2 linked regions of the Canis lupus familiaris genome follow. The protein of the gene in region 2 purifies or fractionates together with the protein of the main gene of each other region. This does not show direct contact. Links are inferred from orthologs where the notes say so. Each region holds a gene or a part of one and is shown on either strand. Other genes may lie near its edges.

The links.
Region 1: the proteins of BMP2K (region 2) and REPS1 purify together in Homo sapiens (affinity purification with mass spectrometry; 3 studies listed by BioGRID and IntAct, counting the BioPlex papers as one, with this or other methods). This does not show direct contact. The link is inferred for Canis lupus familiaris from reciprocal best matches to the Homo sapiens genes BMP2K and REPS1.

Annotation. Positions count from the first base shown.
Region 1 is NC_049222.1:31,378,324-31,382,146, forward strand, and holds part of REPS1 (ralBP1-associated Eps domain-containing protein 1), read right to left. Parts: intron 2,513-3,823; coding exon 2,448-2,512; intron 809-2,447; coding exon 623-808; intron 1-622. UniProt on the Homo sapiens protein: May coordinate the cellular actions of activated EGF receptors and Ral-GTPases.
Region 2 is NC_049253.1:36,918,689-36,922,511, forward strand, and holds part of BMP2K (BMP-2-inducible protein kinase), read right to left. Parts: intron 2,834-3,823; coding exon 1,401-2,833; 3' UTR 1-1,400. UniProt on the Homo sapiens protein: May be involved in osteoblast differentiation.

The sequences.
Region 1 (3,823 bases), on a different chromosome or scaffold from region 2:
CATGAGGACCAGTACCCTGTGCACACCTGTACTTCCCCTTGGGCCCTCCCTTGCTTCCTGGAGGCATAGCCCATACCCCTAATGGGCCCAGGGCTAGGCAGAAAGTTTCAATTTTGAAGAAGTGGCTAGTAGAAGTTCCTGCCACTAGAACTCAACAGCACATCCTGGAACACTGCAAAGACTGAATTTGGCATCCTGTAGTCTGTAGGTCTAACTAAGGTGACTTACTATCATATGAATGGAGTGTAGCTATGGTAACCATAACCACTTGTTACATGGAAATCTTCACCAAATCACACATCAGATGCAAACCCCGGAGCAGTGTTTTAGCCACGCTCAGATGGTTGTGTTTGTGTCTTTTCACACCACAGCTAACTCCCACCCAGATTCTGATTCTTATTGAGCATATATCGTAACCAGCAGGTACCTGAGGTCAAATAAGTAAAATGCACAGATGTAGGAAATATAAATCCTCTGCAGCAGCAGCAGCAGCAATTTTACTCACTTATAGTCACTCTTAATATCTGCTCTTTTAGAGGTTCCTCTGTTTATAGACCTGCTTATGAATATAATGTGGGAAGAGTTTCTCAGCAGAAAATTACATAAGCCCTTAAAAACTGACCGGCAAGACCTCTGGATGTTTCTCAGCTTCATCATCTTGTTCTTCATTTACATTTGATGCAGCAAATACTTCAAATTGGCTGAAATCTGCAAAATTTGGTTGTTCTGGTATCTGCTGAGGTGAGGTACTAGTGTGAGTTATCAGGCCATCAGCATCCACTGGGCGATGCACAACGGGACCAGGAGCCTACATGATGGATCAGGATAGAGGAACACATATTTTATTAGTGAATCACTGTCCGCAACCTTCTCTGAACATATATTGTAGATATGCTTTGTTATCTGTAAATTCAGGGTGATAAGGGACGGTAGCATCTGGCTCTAAAATCCGTAAGTGGAATGCTGACACACTAAAAAAATTAAGATGACAAACCTTCAATAAAAAAGATACTTTTACAAAATTCTTTTTTGCAAAGAAAGTACATGAAAGCAGAGGGAGGGTATGGCCCTACTGTCTGATTCTCCACTTGCATCCACTGTTTTCTTAATTAGGGTACCGCAGAATAGTGTGTGCTTTTAACAAGTTATTTTTAAACTGTTTCATTATGTTTCTAAAAGGGTTATTTTAAAGTATGAAAACCACTGCTCTAAGGATCCTCCCAATACTTCAGTGTACTTCCCTTTGGTATGTCCTCCACTCCTTTGGTGGAGCAATCCTAAAATCTTCAGTTCAAAAATAAATTTACCGAGTATCTAACTTGTGGCCAAGCATTATGAAAATAATAGTGAATGAACAAATAAAGTCTGCGCCCTAAAGAAGCAGATAGACCAGAGCAAGGTAAGAGACAAGTAAACAAGAACGTAAAATGCAGCGTGAGAAGTCTCATGACTCTCTCTGGGTCTTGAGTACGACACAGAAATACTCTGCCCCTTTCCAACCACCTCTTCAGTTTCATCTCCCATCATTCCACTTGCACTAAACTGACTCCTTTACCCTGAATATGCCAGGCAATGTCATTCCTTCTGATTGGAGTGCCCTCTCCCCAAGAAACACTACTTTATCTCTCAAGTCTCTGCTTAAAGTCTTACTTCTTTCATTTTACTTATGCCTTTTCAATGAGATCCTTGACTTTACTAGCTAGTAAAGCTGTGCCAAAGCATTTCATAAATATATCTAGCATAGCCCTTCCATTATAATTGTTGTTTACAGGTCTGTCTTCCCCACTGAACTCGTTCTTGAGTCAAGTGACTAGCTCATTGGGTTTCACAGTTTAACCCAACACAAATATTTTTGCTGGCATTTTAGATAAACTAGATATGGAAACATTCAAATTTCAGGACCTTTTATGATTAAGAAACCATCTTTCTAACTTCAAGTAACCAACCTCATGATCAGAATCTAACTCAGAAAAAAATCAACCAAATTCATTTTTGTAAGAGGCAGCCAGCCAGTCAGTCACATAAAACTATAGCTATAATCCAGAATCTGTCTCAGAACATACTAGATGAAAACAATTTCCACCTGGCAGGGATGCAGAGGTCTTCTTACACTTTCTTTCCTGATGGAGTAACATCCTTGGCAGGGAGATGCAGGGAGGGCACAGAGCCTCTGCTAGACCCAGGACATACATGGACATATATCTCCCAACCCACTGTTCTCTCCACTAAACCTTCCATTATTAAGACATTATCATTTGGTCCACTTTTAAGTTTCTTTCAAAGGTAACTCCTCTGGACTTCCAAAATAAGACCCAGCTTCCCTAAATGAAATGCTCATTAAGAATGATTAATTGGGTAATTCTTGATCTTCAAAATAATTCCAGAGTAGAAGCAAACCCCTAACAGACAAATATAATTGTTCAGTAATGAACACACTGAAGAATTACCTGTGAGGGCTGTGGTCTTGGAGGCACTGCAGGAGGATGGGCAACAACTCCAGCCTGTTGTTGTCCTGAGTAAATACACAAGTCATTTCTTTTCTTTAGTAAACACATACTTTGCTAGTAGAACGAACAAGCAGAGTGAATGGGATCAAATGACAAAGACTTCTAAGAATGCTTGACAAGTATTGGAAGGCATTTATTATCCTGTAAAACTATCTAGATATGACCTAGTAACCAAGCCTCATAGCCTTTTGTGAGACCTCATTATCTATCTTTTTGTTGTTGTTGTTAGGGAGTTATTTTGTTTAGTAGGCTCCGCACCCAGTGTGGAGCCCAATGTGAGGCTTGGACTCATGACCCTGAGATCAAGACCTGAGCTGAGATTAAGAGTCGGACACTTAACTGACCAAGCCACCCAGGCACTCTATCTCAGATCGCATTTCTCTTGTTCTATTGCACAAGGCACTCATGGTATTCTTGTTTCCATAATACTATACATTCTTGGTTTTCTAAAATTTCTGAATGCTCTTCAGCTATAAAATATGCAGACTTCCAAATTTTCTCTTTGCATTTAATACTTCACTCAATCATTTCTAAGTAAATAATTCTTAAATAACACAATCTTTCTTAGTCCACAAGTCCAATGGCCTACTATTATGTCATGTTTTCCTCATCATTCCAAACCTATGACGTCTAAAATAGAACATCATCACCCTTTGGTTCTAACTTTTCTGTTTTGATCAAAATTTATTAACGGGATCCCTGGGTGGCGCAGGGGATCCCTGGGTGGCGCAGAGGGGATCCCTGGGTGGCGCAGAGGTTTGGCGCCTGCCTTTGGCCCAGGGCGTGATCCTGGAGACCCGGGATCGAATCCCACATCGGGCTCCCGGTGCATGGAGCCTGCTTCTCCCTCTGCCTGTGTCTCTGCGCCTCTCTCTCTCTCTGTGACTATCATAAATAAATAAAAATTAAAAAAAAAATTTATTAACAATAAACCAGTTATATAAAAATTAAAACTTGAAGTAAATTATGAGTGTTATCTCTCCTTTGTTAGTTAACTGAAAACCTAGCCAGCTTTCCCTCCTTGATCTCTCCACATGGTTGTTTTAAAATCTCTTGTGGCAACTCTCAGGTTCCCATCTCTATCATTTTCCCTCAAATACATGAAGAAAAAAAAATTTCCTCTCATCTGACATCTTCTAAACTCAAAATTTTTCCTCAGATAAATAAAAAATAAGGCATAGTAAGAAAAGATTAAATAAAAATGTTGTGCTCTTTAATGAACTTTAAAATCAGGGGTGCCTGGGTGGCTCAGTCAGTTAAGCATCTGCCTTTGGTTTGGGTCATGATCCTGGGGTCCTGGGACTGAGCCCCACGTT
Region 2 (3,823 bases):
TAGCTTTATAACAGTTATAGAAACTTCTAAATGTTGATAGGGAAGGACAGTTAATTAGAACTTAAAATAGCTGGAGACACAGGAAGCACAGATACTGTATTCACATTAATTCATACAGTAATTTCTAACTTATTAAACAATTTCTATAAAATCTCAAGTTTCTAATTAGGATTTGTGGTGTTAAAAAAAAAAAAAAAGGCAATTTGGTAGCCAAGTTCTTTTCACTGGATGCATCAACTAGCAGAACTGAGAAGCTAGTTCCTCATCATCTAATACCTTACAGCCATTTTAAGATCTTGTGTGTCAGTGCAGAGGTACTTGCAGCAGGATGCAGGAGTCCTGCCTCTAAGGCTTTTTGGGTTTCACTGTTCTGTGCACTTTATTCAAACTATTCCACCCTCCCAACCTAACTAGAAAGTTGTCACTCACGACTTGGGGAATATTTGGTGAAGGTGGTAATTTAATAAAGCACATTGTTAAATGCAACATGATTTTATGTTGTCTTAAAAACTCAGGGTTTCAGCTACAGATTTTTTTCCTGAAGTACAATTTCTATACAACCTTTGTCCTCACTCCCCATTTTCCAACAATCTGCTTTATTAGGGACATGACAGTAAAAGTTTTGAACAAGAAGCCATTCGAAAGCAATATAAACTTCCTGAAGTAGCTTTTCTCTCTTCTGTATCATTTTTTTTTCTTCTACGTTTTCCACAAGTCAGGTATTTTTCTGGTTTTTGTTCTGGGCTTCTGTGTAGATACTCCTTATTAATGGCACTTGTTTTAAAAAACAAAACAGTTTTAGGCACAATAGTCCATTACTTCTGGCTCTGTTCTGTCGAGAAAGGTGTTAAGGACTAAAATCTCTGCTCTCTCCAGATAGTAACTTTTTTCATTCTTTAGGAGAACCAGATTTTGATTTTACTGTGTGGAAATTAGAAGAGACCTTTGAAAATTCACAAATCCAACCTCTGTATGTACAAATAACCTTAGTTTTAAATGCTGGATCCTGACAGGCAGGAGCCCAGAATATGCACACCCAAGTGACGTTCTGCTACAAAAATAATGACACAGCTTTCCAGTCCCTTTTCAGTGGCTACACAACTGGAAAGGTGGCGCGTGCTCCCCCTGGATTTCTGTGGAGTCCGATCTGGTGGCTGAAGCCCAGGGTTAGAGCTAGCAGTTGAGCTCCCTTTTCTCCTTCACGGAAGAGACAGCAAGTCACTACTCTGTGGAGACACTTCCTTTTTCTATTTGGTTTATTTAAAAATCACCTATTTCTGATTGACCTGTTTGCGAGTGAATGATATAAAGAGCTATACAAATAAATTTCCTTTCAAATTCATAAAACTATTCATACTTTTTTGAAACAGGAGTTAACGCCAAGAGTCTGTCAGAAGTATCTACTGTTTAGAAGGAAATGGAGCAGCACCAAATGGGTCTAATTCAACTGACTGGGACTGTTGGGACTGATGTGAAGTGATGCTTTGCACCACAAGTTCTGTAAAGGGAACGGCACCAAAATCATCCATTTTCAACGCATCTGTACTGTGGAATGAGCTGTGCAGTGAATTCGGTCTTGGTCGCCCGGGCAGGACGGGGTTGTGATCAGCACGGATGTCACTCAGGCCCTGATGTGGAGGGTGCCACGGCAGGTCGGGAGGATGGAAGGGTTTGGCACCAAAGGGGTCCAACAGACTCTCCTCGGGTTGCAGGCCATTCCCTCTATCTTTCCCATCGGTTAGTGCAACGCTAATGTTCTCCTTGGAGTCTGAGATGGTTAAAAATTCATTGCTGCTTTGAGAGTCTCGGCGGCCCACCTTTTTATGCCTGCGAGCCCTTTCTGGAGTGCGGTAGGTAGGCTTCACAGTCTTCTTTGTGCTGGTTGGTGTGCCATGATGGCGCTTCCCATTACTTTTGGACAGATCCTGCTTGGTGCGCCTTTGGCGAGAAGACAGTTTCTGTAAGCTTCGCTGTTTGACTTTTTGCTGTTGACTCCCAGTTATTTCCTCAAAGGGCACAAGCCCAAAAAGGTCCTCATTGCTGTCACTTTTGCTGGTCGATGTGGCAAAGGGCTGAAATGGAGTGGAGCCAAATATATCTACACTTTTTGGACAACCTGGGGAAGTATGTGCTTCGGGCCCCACGGCACGGCAGTCCGGTACACTCACCTTCTTGCTAAAGGGGGCCTTTGTGAATACGTCAAATTCCTCTTGCTCCAGACCCACGGTAGGACTGAGGCTCTGTTGACAGAAGTTCTTCTCATTCTTTCCTTGATGAGGCTGCTGAGCACGCACTGCAAAGGGGACAGCGCCAAATACATCAAACTCCTGCTTAGGAGCCTCTACGCCAACATCAGAGGGTAATCGGGTCGGGGAGAGGAGTGTGTTACTAGGATCTTGCATTGGTCCACTGCCACATTTGTCTCTGTAGACAGGGCTCACATCACTGTACTTTACTTTGGCCTGCTCATAATCAGAATCAGAGCTATGTTTCTCTTCGTCCTCATCTTCAGAATCCATGAGGAGAGGCCTATGACCCAGATTTTCTGGTTCAGTATCATCATCATTAAAATCTCCTTGTTCTCCCTGAAGAACTTCTTCATCCTCTTGTTCCTCCTCTTCACTGCTCTTAGGAGAAGGGGGATCTGATTCAAAATCACTTTCAGACTCGTCATTCCGCTTTTGCACTTGACTCTGTATTGATGAATTCTCCGAGGTTTTCTTTCCGGTCTGGTGGTCTTTAGATACTGGACTTGCTTTTCTATTCTTGATAGGGTTAACAGAAATATTTTCTTGATTCCCGGATGTATTTTCAATTTTCTTTTCTGGAGAACCTGCAAGTTCAAAGAAAAATTACTATTCCAATACATTTCAAGAACCATTTGCACAAACACAAGGTATTGCAAGTCCCTCGCATAGAGGAAATAATGTCAATTCTTTGGTTATTGGGCATTCCTTAGGGAATGCACCTGTCCTCAACTAGACGGTTAGATCCTTTAGCAGAGAGAGATTTACTTGCCTCTTGTCTCCTACACACCACCTACTCACCTTAAGCCCTCACTGACAGCTAGGTCTTATGTATAGTACCCAGAACAGGACTCTGAATATAGTATACAAGCAAACTTTCTTCTCCTACCTTCAGAATAGATTATTTAATTGCCCCAATCAGAATCCCACAATTACCAGATCACCTTCTGCTTCTATTTCAACTCCATTATAAAGTTTTCCCAAAGAGATCAACAAGCATAAATAAATTAAATTTTTTAAGCATTCTGGTTGTCTTATGGCTTAGGTTAACAACATGAGTGCATCCCCATAATCTGATCAAAGCCAAGAACCAGGTACTGAACCCAGATCATACCAAGGACATCTGCCTTCCCTAGATGACACATCTTCCGTTAACTATTATATCTTCACTACCATTAAAAGCATGCTACCTTTAAAAAAAAACAAAAACAAAAACAAAAAACTTAACTACCAATATGTTCACTGTACCAAAGACCATATAATTTCACCGTATGGTATATAATAAAGATTGTATTAGCTACATGAAAATATATTGCCCTCCCAATACACTGGGTGTATTGAATTGATTTTCCAGAGGTAGGGATCAGTTTGGACTGATCCAACCACACATCATCCCTTCCCTTCCTTTGACTAAGATCAGATATTTCCAAATAATTAGCTAGGGTTGGAAGTATAGTCTGTAGTCATGAAAACTAACCAACTTATGATGGAAGGACCATTATTTTCCTGTTATCAACATGGTCCCTATGGCATATGACACCTCTGAGTTCTTACCTTCTCTTTCAAAGTCAGCACTG